Linked DNA regions of Caenorhabditis elegans. The protein of the gene in region 2 purifies or fractionates together with the protein of the main gene of each other region. This does not show direct contact. Each region holds a gene or a part of one and is shown on either strand. Other genes may lie near its edges.

Region 1 (4,196 bases), 6.8 Mb from region 2:
TAACAACTTAAGCGCCAACTTTATCGTTTTGCAACGTTTCTACGAACTTTAGCAACTTATTTACCAACTTTAGATGTGCACTTTCTACTATGTTAAGAAAGTCGTAAGTAACTAAGTCTCAGAAGCCAGCTGAAACTGGAGAGAAAATAAAAAAAGAGCAAGAAAGCTCATGAAATATTTTCCAGTATATAGTTTTGGCCAAAAAAACATCTTGTTTCTTGAACTGCAAGTTTCTCAATTAGTGCTATCAGAGTTTACTCCCTAAAACTAAGATGATATGTGAAGTGTCAAAAGTCTGGGGAAACTAGAAAAGGAGTTTTTTAATCAATAAATTAAAGAAAGGAAACAGTCAAGAATGCCAACTCCTAGGAGCTGGATCGTTAGAATACGTGCGCGCGTGCTGCCTATGTTCTGCCAAGATTAGCCAACTTTATCCAACATTAGCCTACTTTGACCAACTTTATCCAACTTTTTTCCCAAAGTTAGCAACTTCTGCACTTGTCATTTATAAAGTTGCTAAAGTTGGTGGATAAGTTGCGGCGAATTGCCGAGAGTACAGAATACAGTTGGAGCAGTCTCATCAAGTTTCCATCGATATGTGATAAGAAATATAACTGTGGGGGTGAGATGTACGGTATGAGATTGAATTAAGTAAGTTGATACAAGTGCACCTACATCAGGTTTCTGTAAAAATCTCGTATTTTATTCAAAATTGTTCAACTTTTAGATTTATCAATACGTTTTCAAATTTACAAAAAGCATACAACGGAAGGCGGATCAATCAATTGCTCAATTTATTCTCATTATCAATTAATTTGGCGTGTTCAATTGAATATTGGAAGTTCCTTCATAAATCTCTTGCATCTCTATAGATTGCATCTCTATAGAAACATTGCATCTCTATAGAACTTTTCGGCTGGAAATTCCTTTGTGAATCCAACACCACCGAGCTGATGTTGACGTCGCCACCTGGAAGAAAACGCACAGTCTGCTTTCTCGCAGAGGACATTTCCCTAGCTAGAAAATCTCATGAAAACCATATTTTTAAACTGTGGCTTATTTATTCCTGAATGGAATAAACTGAAGAACAATATAAAAAATAAATTGACAAAAATAATAAAAACACGATTCAATAGTACATGATATGAAGCTTTCGTGGGAATCTAAAGATTCTAAAAATAAAACTTGGTTAACTTGAAAACGGTATGATAATTGAGATTCTAATACTGGGAAATTAAAAACGGGGAGAATATCTCATTTGGTCGTTGATGCTTGAATAGGTGAAGCTTGGCGAAGACGAAGACGAAACTTGCTGAGAGCTGAGGTACTTGATGACATCCATTGTCTGAAGATCCGGACGAGATCTGAATTCATTTTATCAGTTTACATATAACTTATTCCAACTAACTTGCTAGATCCGAAACGAGTCTGTGAGAACTCAACGCCACTGAAGGTTTGAGCAGATGACGGCTTGTAGACGAAGCGGAATGGATACATCTGAAAAAAAAATGAAATAAAATTTAGAATCTGAATATTTTTTGCATACCTCCCGAAGATGAGAGAGATTTGCGTTGATATCATCACATTTCTCTCGCGCCAATGGAGAATACATTGTGTTGACCATTTCGAGAGCAGCTGTAATTTATTTTCAAAATTGTTTTGATGATTCAATTTTCAAAAAAAAAAATTCACCTTTGTCGTTGGTGAGAAGCGGCTTTTTTCCAACAAGAACCGATTTCCCAGCTGCTCCAAGATTCGAGCAAGGCTCCGCGCGGATTGCAGCGGTTCTGACCACGTACTCGGGGACTGATTGGTAGCTGGAAAAATGAAATTTAAAGTATTTTTATATTGTCTTGTATAAAATCCAACTTCTCATCGCAGTTCACATCTCCAATCCAAATCGGTGTTTCGATTCCGTTCTCCGATAAACGAACGAAGACGTGGCCCGGATTGGCAAAAATGATCATGTTTGCTGAAACAAAAAAAATTAGAAAAATACCAATTTATTTATTTTTACAAACTTGGAAGTAGACGCAGAACATCACTCGGAGGGACTCCAGCTTCTTCGGCAGAACTTGCAAAGCATAAAGAAGTGGTTGTGTTAATCATTCGCTTCATCTCACCTAGAATTTTAAAAATAATTTTTTGTTCTATTTCTCAGGTTTTAACAAAAAAACTTACCATTTTTCGGATGATGAACATCCCAGGTAGACGAGAAATGTGAGACGAGGTAGTTTCCAAGTTCAGCGCCAAATATGCCGACCTGGAAAATATAAATTAACTCTAAACCATCAAAAAATTGTTTCAAATTACCGGTCTTCTTGGAATATGTCCAAATAAGTATCTGCACACAAAATTGACGAGCTCGCGGACTTCGGTATACATTTTCTCCTGAAAATTTAATTATAGTGAGAGATACAAATTAAACAATAAAACAATAAATATGAGACCACCCACGACGAAAACGAAAGTGCGAGCTTCTAATTTTAATAAAAGAGTTCATAAATACTGACAAAATCAACTCAATATCGGTTTAAAAAATTTCATCTATGCATTGCGAACGTAAAATTGAGCGAGCGAAGAGTGTAAATACCACCCATGACAAAACCGAGGACCACCAACAAAGATAATTGAAAAATGTACTTCTTTTTCAATAAATGTTAACGAAAAAGTAACTTATAAAAAGTATTCGAAGAAGAAACCATTGAATTAATTGTAAATTTAATGGAAATCGAGGAAGATATGCTAAAAATATGATAATGAAGCAAATTCGAAAAGAATAGGCCGCCCATGAAGTAAACTTGAGCTACGCACCAGCATCACACAATTCAGAAACTACAGTACCCTGATGACCACCCACGAAGAAATTGGTGAGACGGTTTACAGTAAGATTTATTTGAGAAATTCAGAATCATGAATCACAGGAAAACACCGATAACTCGAAAAATCAAATTATACAATAATTTAAAATTTTAGGCAGTTCTTGTACGAAAGACCACCCATGATGAAAATGAGCATTCGCACATTCTTGAGATTTTCTGACTTTATAGAGTTGAGTTTCGTTTTATATATTAAACTTTTTTTAAAATTACACTTTCCATAATTCCTCTATTACGAGACGTCTATGATAATTTTCATAACTTACGCTCGTGTACACTATATATGACGATATTTTACATTTTATTATGTCTGATTAATCTCTAATTTTCTAATATATTCTGGAAAATTGAAAAACCTTTGACAAGAAATCAGTTTTACGTCAATTAGGAGAAAACAGAATTAACATTTTCAAATAATTTCGTTGACCTACATCTCACATCGTACATCTAAAGCGAATAGGTAACCAAAAATAACCAAAATTAAGTACCTAGATGTACCTTTATTAACGAAAAAGTTTGATATTATAAGAGACGAAAATGTTCATCTCATCAAGTAAGTTAATTTTCAACATGTTACTCGGAAACGTTGGCAAATTTGGAGCAAAAATTGTACCTTTTGAGAAGGTTTTTGTTGTGAAGCATCAGCGAATCAGCTTCGAACCGGGCCAGAAACGTGAAAAATATAAATAGTTCATATTGCCCTTGTCTTCGCAAAACCTCCGATTATTACAGATTCGATTCAGAAAAATCTGGAAAATACCAAGTACGAACACAATGATAAATAAATTCAACTGAAAAATTTTATTTTGAAGACAAGATTTTGAGGATAGTTTGCTCGAGTTGACCTCACTTCTTCTGGAAGCAATCGTTTCCAATTCCAGCCAGTGTCTGATAGTTCGGATCATGAGTAGCTAAAAGTTAGATTATAACAAGAATCTGTGAACTAAAAAACAAACCAGCCATTCCAGGACCACCGGCTTTTGGAGCACCTGGAGAAGCACCACCAGCAGCTGGTTTTGCACCGTCTTTCTTGTCGAAACAATCGTTTCCAATTCCAGCAAGTGTTTGGTAATTGGGATCATGGGTGGCTGAAATTCGATTTTTAGTACGTAGCTAGATCTGAATATCCAATGAAACTCACCAGCCATTCCAGGACCTCCAGGCTTTGGAGCACCAGCCGTAGGGGAAGCACCACCAGCAGCAGCAGGAGCTTTTCCTTTCTCTTGGAATACATTTCCATCGACTCCAGCAAGAGTTTGATAATTTGGATCGTGTGTTCCTGCGACAGCATTCTTATCACTTGGAGCCTTTGGACCT
Region 2 (8,397 bases):
GGTGGGAATTGTGAAAACTTGTGGAAAATTATTGGAAAAACGTGAACAAATAACAGATTTTACAAGAGGTTATGGTGGTGGTGATAGTTGGGTGGATGGAAAAAAATGTTAAAAATACGAGAAAAACTACTTTCCCATATTAACAAGGTACATATTTTTGTCCTTTCTCGGACGACGTTCTGGTTTTCCGGCTGGTAAGAGGGTGTGCTGATTGGGTCCCGAATGGAGTTTGTTGGAGCACGATGGACAGTAGTACTGGCGACACGGAGCCTCTTTGCAGTATGCGCTCTTGTTGCTGTAGACGTTGGTACGTTTCATGCGTAGGAACTGTTGGAGTTTGGCTTCTGGATTCATTCGGACCTGGAAAAATATGGGTTTTTTCTTTACAATTATTATAATTAAAAATTAAAATTAACCTTAACTATCGAATTTAATTGTAGAAAAGTTTAAAAAAATCTAAATTTTATAAGATTTTTGAAAGAAATGGGAAAAATAATATTTATTCGATGAAGCGCGCTTGCATTTTTACTTTTTTTAAAATTTTTCTACTGATTTTTTATGTTTTCAGTTTATTTTTATTGAAAATTTTACGAAAATTGCATTTTTCTTGAATTTTTCGTTAAATTTCCAGTAAAAATACATTGAAAACATGGAAAATCAGTAGAAAATTAAAAAATAAAATATCGAAAAATGTAAAAATGCACGCACGCTCCATTGAACAAATAATTGCGATTTTTTCCAAAAAATCATATAAAATCCAGATTTTTTTGCTGTAAATTATGGAAAATGACCGAATAATAGGAAATTTTTTTTTCAAATTTGCCAAAAATTGAGTTAAATTATTTTTGAATTCCCGCGCAAATTCATTCGGCATTTTCTTTTCGAGTTTTCTGGCTTTTTTTCTTGATTTTCAACAATTTTTTAAATTTAAAATTTGATTTGAAACCCCGTTTTCCAATTTTCCAAGCATTTTTTTCAAAGAAAACTTGATAACCTAAAAAAAACATAGAAAATTGGCCTAAAAATCGACAATTTCCATTAGTTTCAAACAATTTTTGCGGAAAAATGTCTGAAAAATTTAAAAACTGTCATTAATTTGCGCGGGAACTCAAAAAACGTCGTTTTTTTAAATTTTTTCAAAATTGAAAAAATCATTTAAATTTTCGGGTATTTTTCGGTTGTCGTTGAAAGGGTTGTCGTTGAAAAATACTTGATTTTCCCGAAATTGTTTTAAAAATTCTTTGGACAATCGAAAAAAATTTAGAAAACGTTATTTTTTTTCTAAGTAGACGAAAAACGGCCAAAATTTAGACCAATTTCTGGAAAAAAAAAAGAATATCTTAGAATTTTTTTCATTTGAAACTTCAAAAAAAAATCAAAATTACCGGTTCAGTTCCCACATCATATTTCGGAGCAGGAAGGAATTTATCCCATAGATCTGGTCCAATTGGATATTCGTTTCCGTTCACAGTCACAGTCTTTTCCTTCTCCAATCCGAACGATTTGACCATTTCCAAGAATTTCCGAGCTCCCATTTCAGTCTCATTTTTCTCGTTTTCCCGGTTTGAGTAGGTGCACGCCAAATTGCAATTCTTCTTGAATCCGGCATCCATTTTCGTGATCAAATCATCGTGTCCATCACCAGAATTTAGTGAGAATGGGCTTCTGGATGACCACATATTGAAATTCTTAATTTCAGCCATTTTCTGTTCCTTTTGATGATCGTCTTTTGCACATTTTAAATGATCGTAGATGCTTAGGAATGGATTGAACCATAAACCTCCACACTCATCACATCCAACATCTTCCATCACGTATGGCTTGATCTCTATCATCTGAAATATGCAATTTTTTGGTTTTTTTTTAACTTTTATACTCAAAATGCTGCGAAAATGCCAAATTTTATACCTTTAGAAAAAGAAGACCTATTCTACACGTGGTGTCAGGCTGCCCCATTTCGGCTTGATCTATGTAGCTCTATGGTTCAGAACGTGCTGACGTCACGCATTTTTGGACAAAAAATTCGTAGATCAAACCGTGATGTGACAGCCTGGCACCAAGTGATTCTAAATAGCTAAAATCTTGAATTTTGCCAATTTTCCCGTGTCGCAGCTGTCGGAAATTAATTTTTATTTAATAATTGTTATATTTTCGCCATTTTTGTCGCTTATCTTACGTTATTTCGGTGTTTTTGGCGAAAAGTTCAGGTTTTATACTGAAAAATAATGCAAAGAACTTGATTTTTTTTGTGTTATTATACTCAAAAATGGCGCAAAAAAGCTGAATTTTACAGCTAGAATTAAAAAAATTTGAAAAAAGGTTTAATTTTAGCTAAAATCTTGAATTTTTCCCGTTTCGCAACTGTGGGAAATTGATTTTTATTCAATAATTGTTATATTTTGCTCACTTTTCTTTGTTATCTTACGTTATTTCGGTGTTTTTGTCTAAAATTTTATTATTTATTTTTATACATTATACTGAAAAATAGGGTAAAAGGCTTGATTTTTTGTGTTGTTATAATGAGAATATCGCAAAAAGGCCGAATTTTCTAGCTAGAATTTTCGAAAAAATGCCATTTCGCAGCTGTCAGAAAATGATTTTTATTCAATAATTCTTATATTTTGCTTATTTTTGTCGTTTATCTTACGTTATTTCGGTCAAACTCAATAAAATAACGTGGGGTAAGCGACAAAATATGCAATTATTAAATAAAAATCAATTTCTGACCGTTTCCACAGGGGAAATTGACCAAATTAGCGAGCAAAAAAATTTAGCAAAAATCAGGTCATTTTTTCGATATTTTTTAAATGAAAAAGAGGCATTTTGAGTAACTAACCGTCTTGCTCGAATCGATATTGTCGAATTTCAGGAATTTCTTCTCCAGTGCCCTATTAAACGCAGAATCCCGTTCGAAAGTCACTCGAGCCGCTCCTTTCGGGTATCCGTAGTCTTGATCAATATCGATTGTGACGAGAAGAACAACTCCGAACTCTGAGAACATTTGAGCTATTTCCTCGGCTGTTACAATTCTCGGGAGTCCTCCAAGAAAGACGGTCCGGTGAATATCGATGATACGGTTGTGACGGGCTTTTTCCAAGATGTAGAAACCGTTGTAGATGAACCAGGGACGGATTTGAATCTAAATTGGAAGTTTTATTAATTTTATTGATTTTAAAATTATTGATTATTTATTTTCTCCTAACCATATCTCTAAATCCTGGCACTGAAACGAAGAAGTCGTTTTGTGAATTTCGATGGCATGCAGACATCAGTTTGATCACTGACTGCTCATCCGAATAGACAAGGAACAAGTACGAGTAGGATCCAATGGCGATCGATTTTCCGCGAGCTGAAAATTGAAAAATTTAAGATTTTTAAATTTAAACAATTTAAAGGTGGTATAGTCGAATTTTTTAAAAATTGCTTTTTTAGACTCGAAATTGTCTGAAAAAAATCAAATTTTATGATAAAACTGCTTGAAAACTTCTCAAAAAAAAGTAATGACGGCTCAAAAAATGGCCTAAAATTAGTTAAAATTTGAAATTTGACCGACTTGTCAAGCGGCTGGAAACTGATTTTTTTGAAATCACTTGAGTATACAATGTAATTATCTTGCGTTTTCAACTTCATTTAGGTATTTTAAACATATTTTGGACGGCGAGATTTGGTAGAAAAAATTTGAAAATCTCGCCGTCCATCGACTTTAAAATACCTAAATCGAGTTGAAAACGCAGGATAATTACATTGTATACTCAAAATTAGACGGTGATTTCAAAAAAGTTAGTTTCTAGCCGCTTGACAAGTAGGTCAAATTTCAAATTTTAACTAATTTTAGGCCATTTTTTGAGCAGTCATAACTTTTTTTTGAGAAGTTTCCTCATGAAATTCGGTGTTTTCAGACAATTTTGAGTCTAACAAAGCAATTAAAAAAAATAAAAATCCTACAATTCGGCTTCTGCTTCACTGGCCAATCGACGAAAACCGTTCCAAATTGACCGAAGAATTTGTTAATGATCTTCCGATTCATCATATGCGAGATTCCACCAACGAATACTTTGTTGGAGACGACTCGTTGATTGTTCTCGTTCCGATGGTTCTTGACAACCGTGTGCACATCTTCGGCGGTGTAGATGTTGCCTTGATCGAAGCTCTTTCCATCTGGAAAAATGGAAAATTTATTTAAAAAACAAAAACTTATAGCGTAATACTTTAAAGGCACAAGCTAAAAAGTTTGAATGGGTCTCCCCGCGATCTTGCATTTTCAAGGCTAAAAATGTTAAAATTCACAAAATATGTTGATTAAAATGGAAATTTATCGATTTTTAGACTGACTTTCATAATTTTTTGAATAAAAATCAGCTGAACCAAAACTTCGGAACGAGAAAAGTCGAAATCATGTATTTTAATATTTTAAAGGCGCATGCTAAAAAGTTTGAGCGGGTCTCGGCGCGATCTCCAATTTTTAAGACTAAAAATGTTAAAACTCACAAATTTGTTTAACAAAATGGAAATTAATAGATTTTTTGACTGATTTTTCATTAATTTATTGAATAAAAGTCAGCTAGGTTACTTAAAAACCAAAAACTTCGGAACGAGAAATGTCGAAATCATGTATCGTAATATTTTAAAGACGCACGCTAATAAAATTCAATGAGGTCCCGGTCAGGGCTGAGCAGTCGCCCAAAAAAATCGGCGATCGGCGATCACCAATTTCCGAAAAATTTCGGCGATCGGCGTTCGTCTATATTTTTATATTGAAAAAAAAACATATTTTAAGAGCTATTTTAACGAGTTACCTTTCCGTTTTTTTGTTTGGTAAGGAAATGCGACGAAAAAATTAACATTTACTCAAAAAAAAAAAAAAAATTAAAAACAACAAAACAATCGTAAAAAAACATGAGATTTTAAAAATCGAGATGAATTTATTGAAAAATTCCATCGGCGATCGCCGATGAATTTTTTTCCTTCGGCGATCGCCGATGAATTTTTTTCCTTCGGCGATCGCCGATCGCCGAAAAATCACGAAAATCGCCGATTGCCGCTCACCCCTGGTCCCGGTACGATCTCATTTTTTACAACGCTAAAATTGTTAAAAACCACTTTTTTTTAAATTGAAATGGAAATTTTTGGCCGAGTTTTCTTTCTTTTTTAAATATGAACTACAATTTCTGTCTACGATATTCAAAAACAAAAAATCTTCTATCGTACTACTTTAAAGGTACATGCAAATATAATTTTAGAGAATTTCGGCACGATCTTAAATTTTTCACGGCTAAAAATCGATTTTCTTGTCTGCTTATCTTAAAAAATAATTGAATTTGCTTTCTAAGCTATTTAAAAATCAGTTTTTTTTTCAAAAATGAGCAATTTTCCTCGCTGAAATTTTAGAAAATTCAATTCAAATGAGCATTTACCTCTAGAAACGTGTGCTTCACGTCTTTGCTGCTGGTTGTTGTTGTGGAAATTGTAGGCGGACATCGAGTCGAACGAGCCAAAGTGATGGCCGAAATCATCAGAAGCAGCCGGTGATTGGCAGTGACTGGCGTATGGTGGAGCCGGGTTGCAACAGAGCACTGTGCTCCGAGAGCTTGACACTGTTGCCGGCGGGCTCATGAGGTACGAGCCGAAACCTGCACCACGATGCGGACGCTGCTTATTTTGGCTGAAATTAAAGAAAATAACCGGTTTAAAGCACATTCTCGAGCACAAATCGCACCTAGCCAAGAGCTCGAGTTGGAGTTTAGCGAATTCCATCGGAGAAATCTGTGATGCAAGATGCATAAGCAGGTTTTGTGCAGAAGCTTCGTGGAATCCGGCCTGAAAATTAAATTTTTTAAAAATTTTATTCTCCTTTTCTTTCGCTTTTTTTTTACCTTTTCACCAAACAGAGAGTGCTCATACCCATTCGTTTGCTGGTAAAAATGTTGTGGGCAGTCTGTGCGACGCTGGAACGATCTGAACTCGTCGTCGTGATGTCTGAAAATTCGAAAATTTCAATTTATTGGCTCAAAAAGAAGCTGTAACTTACAACAGAGAATTCTCCCGCTGGTAACCACGAGTCCATTTTTCATTGTGACCACTGGGAAACATTGGTTTTAAGCTCTGAAAAATGGGAAAATTTCGAAAAATTGACTTTTCTTCGTGGGAGGTCTGAAGAAAACGCGTTTTCTGTGAAGATTCAATACGGCAGAGATAAAAATTTCAATTGAAATTGATTTAATAACACTTAATTTAAAAAGAGAGTTTAACTTTTTCGCAAATTATAATTCATATAAGAAGGAAAGAAAATTGGTGGAAATGAGACCGCCCATGAAGAAAAATCATTTTCTTGTCGAAAAATTAACAATTTCATATTTTAGAGTTGGAATTTTAATTTCAAAATTATTTTAATAAATAATTAATCAATATTTACACAAATGTAAAAAATAACACGAAAAATTTAAAAATCCGCTGATTGGCCTAAACTTCGGTGGCCCAAGACCACACACGAAGATAACTAATTTTCTCATTTTCCAGATGAAAAATTAAGAATTTTATATATTAAAATTGAAATTTCAATTTTAAAACTAATTTAATTTGAAAAAAAAATCAAATTATTCTCAAAAAATGCGAAAAAAATCGATGATTGGCCTAAAATATCGGTGGTCCAAGACCACCCACGAAGAAAAGTGACTACAGTAACCTGTACGTCAACACCATCACGTCAAAATGCACAGACCGCGAAATTTGAAAATAGTTTATCTGAATTTGCGAATATATTAATAAAATGACCATTTAAATTAAGTTTTATATAAGAAAAAGCGATAAATTATTTAAAAATTTTAGAAAAAAGTTTTTTTAACCTCCAATTTCTGAAAAAAATATCGAATTTAATAAAAATAAAACATTTATTGACGAGATCAAGAAGAAAAAAAGTTATTTTTAAAAAGCAGCCGATGGATCAAAAATTCCGTTGAATCGATTCGAAATTCTATTATTATATATGGCAGCCTGTGGTACTGGATCATATGCCACGTCGCGTTCCGTAAATACTCCTGTACACTCATTCGGGCACACGTCCTGTAAGAAAATCATGTCAAATAATGTTAAAATCACGTGGTGCCAGGCTGCCCTAACACGGTTTGATCTACAAAAAATGCGGGAATTTTTCGCCCAAATATATGTGACGTCAGCACGTTCTTAACCATGCGAAATCAGTTGAGAACTCTGCGTCTCTGTTCCCGCATTTTTCGTAGATCTAAGTAGATCAAGCCGAAATGAGACACTCTGACACCACGTGTGAAATGAAAATTTTAATACCGTCAATTGAATTTCCGGGCTGCCGAGGTTCGACACAGATGGTCCATTTAATGGCTGGGCGTTGAAGAACTGAAAACTTGCGCGTAAAGTATGGTGCATTGAGAGGGGCGGAGTTAATACATCGGATTTCACACGCAAGTTTTTTTGGCGGGAAAATCGAATTTTTCAGAGTTTCCGTTACGGATTTCTGGCTTCCCTCATAAATTGAAATGGAAGAGTTTGCCGAACTAGGCCATTTTGGCTCGGCCATATCTGGGGTAGATTTACGGCGCGTTGCGTGTCGCGTCGCGGCTCGGTTTTAGTTGTAAAACTAAATGTATTTGTCCGTGTGGAGTACACGGCTTTCCCACGCGTTGTCCGGCAGGATTGTCAATGGAGGGCGAAAAATTCAATGAGGAAGGCCAGAACCCCGTGTTTCCGAAATTTTTTAAAAATCAAAATCGTCATTTTTGTGGGTTTTTTTTCTATTTTTCTCCACGTGGATTACACAGAACACTTGTCAGTAGAGCACTCTTGCATTTCTGGTATACCCGAGAGTTCCTGGATAGCAAAGCCATAGGTTTATTTTTATTTTTCCAAGCAAAAACAGAATCCCAAATTATTATAAAAATGGAGTGAGCAAAAGAGAGAAAGAAGTTAGTTAAAGATCTTGCGGGTACACTTGTTGGCACAAATTTCCACAGTGTGTGGAGCAGCATTGTGATATCCAATTGATCCGTCTTCGATGGATCCTTCGGTGACGAACTGTAACAGGGTGTTATGAGGAGGTAGGTGGACAGGTTACGGTAGAAGTGGGGGGGGGGGGGGGGAAGTGATATTTTTTGTCAACTTACATTCCATGTTGTGCATGTGGAGAGGGAGCCAACTGGGCGAGCAAATCGAGCCACGAGGGTGTTGCCTGAAACATAATTTGATAATAAATTTGCGCGTGAAATATGGTGTTTTGGAGTGAAGAGACAGCTATGACCTGATACATCAGAATTTACGCGCAAATTCAAATATTGAAGTTTTGCGCGTGAAATTTGATGCATTGTAGCCGGTGTTTGTACATTTTGGCGATAACGATTCAATACATCAGATTCTACGCGCAAATTTAAA

The links. The genes of interacting proteins can lie anywhere in the genome.
Region 1: the proteins of fog-1 (region 2) and fog-3 purify together in Caenorhabditis elegans (affinity purification with western blotting, with the first as the bait; one study listed by BioGRID). This does not show direct contact.

The regions. Positions count from the first base shown.
Region 1 is NC_003279.8:10,014,967-10,019,162, reverse strand, and holds fog-3 (Anti-proliferative protein domain-containing protein), read right to left. Parts: upstream 2,399-4,196; 5' UTR 2,386-2,398; coding exon 2,314-2,385; intron 2,264-2,313; coding exon 2,182-2,263; intron 2,124-2,181; coding exon 2,022-2,123; intron 1,973-2,021; coding exon 1,870-1,972; intron 1,818-1,869; coding exon 1,693-1,817; intron 1,636-1,692; coding exon 1,547-1,635; intron 1,498-1,546; coding exon 1,409-1,497; intron 1,365-1,408; coding exon 1,235-1,364; 3' UTR 1,042-1,234; downstream 1-1,041. Other genes in the region: C03C11.1 (Collagen triple helix repeat protein), read right to left, coding at 3,726-3,790, 3,836-3,967, 4,021-4,196.
Region 2 is NC_003279.8:3,208,751-3,217,147, reverse strand, and holds fog-1 (RRM domain-containing protein), read right to left. Parts: upstream 6,103-8,397; 5' UTR 6,091-6,102; coding exon 6,029-6,090; intron 5,977-6,028; coding exon 5,874-5,976; intron 5,818-5,873; coding exon 5,717-5,817; intron 5,663-5,716; coding exon 5,415-5,662; intron 4,159-5,414; coding exon 3,946-4,158; intron 3,350-3,945; coding exon 3,204-3,349; intron 3,140-3,203; coding exon 2,837-3,139; intron 1,836-2,836; coding exon 1,386-1,835; intron 361-1,385; coding exon 127-360; downstream 1-126. Other genes in the region: Y54E10A.17 (DOMON domain-containing protein), read right to left, coding at 6,922-7,059, 7,300-7,368, 8,133-8,197.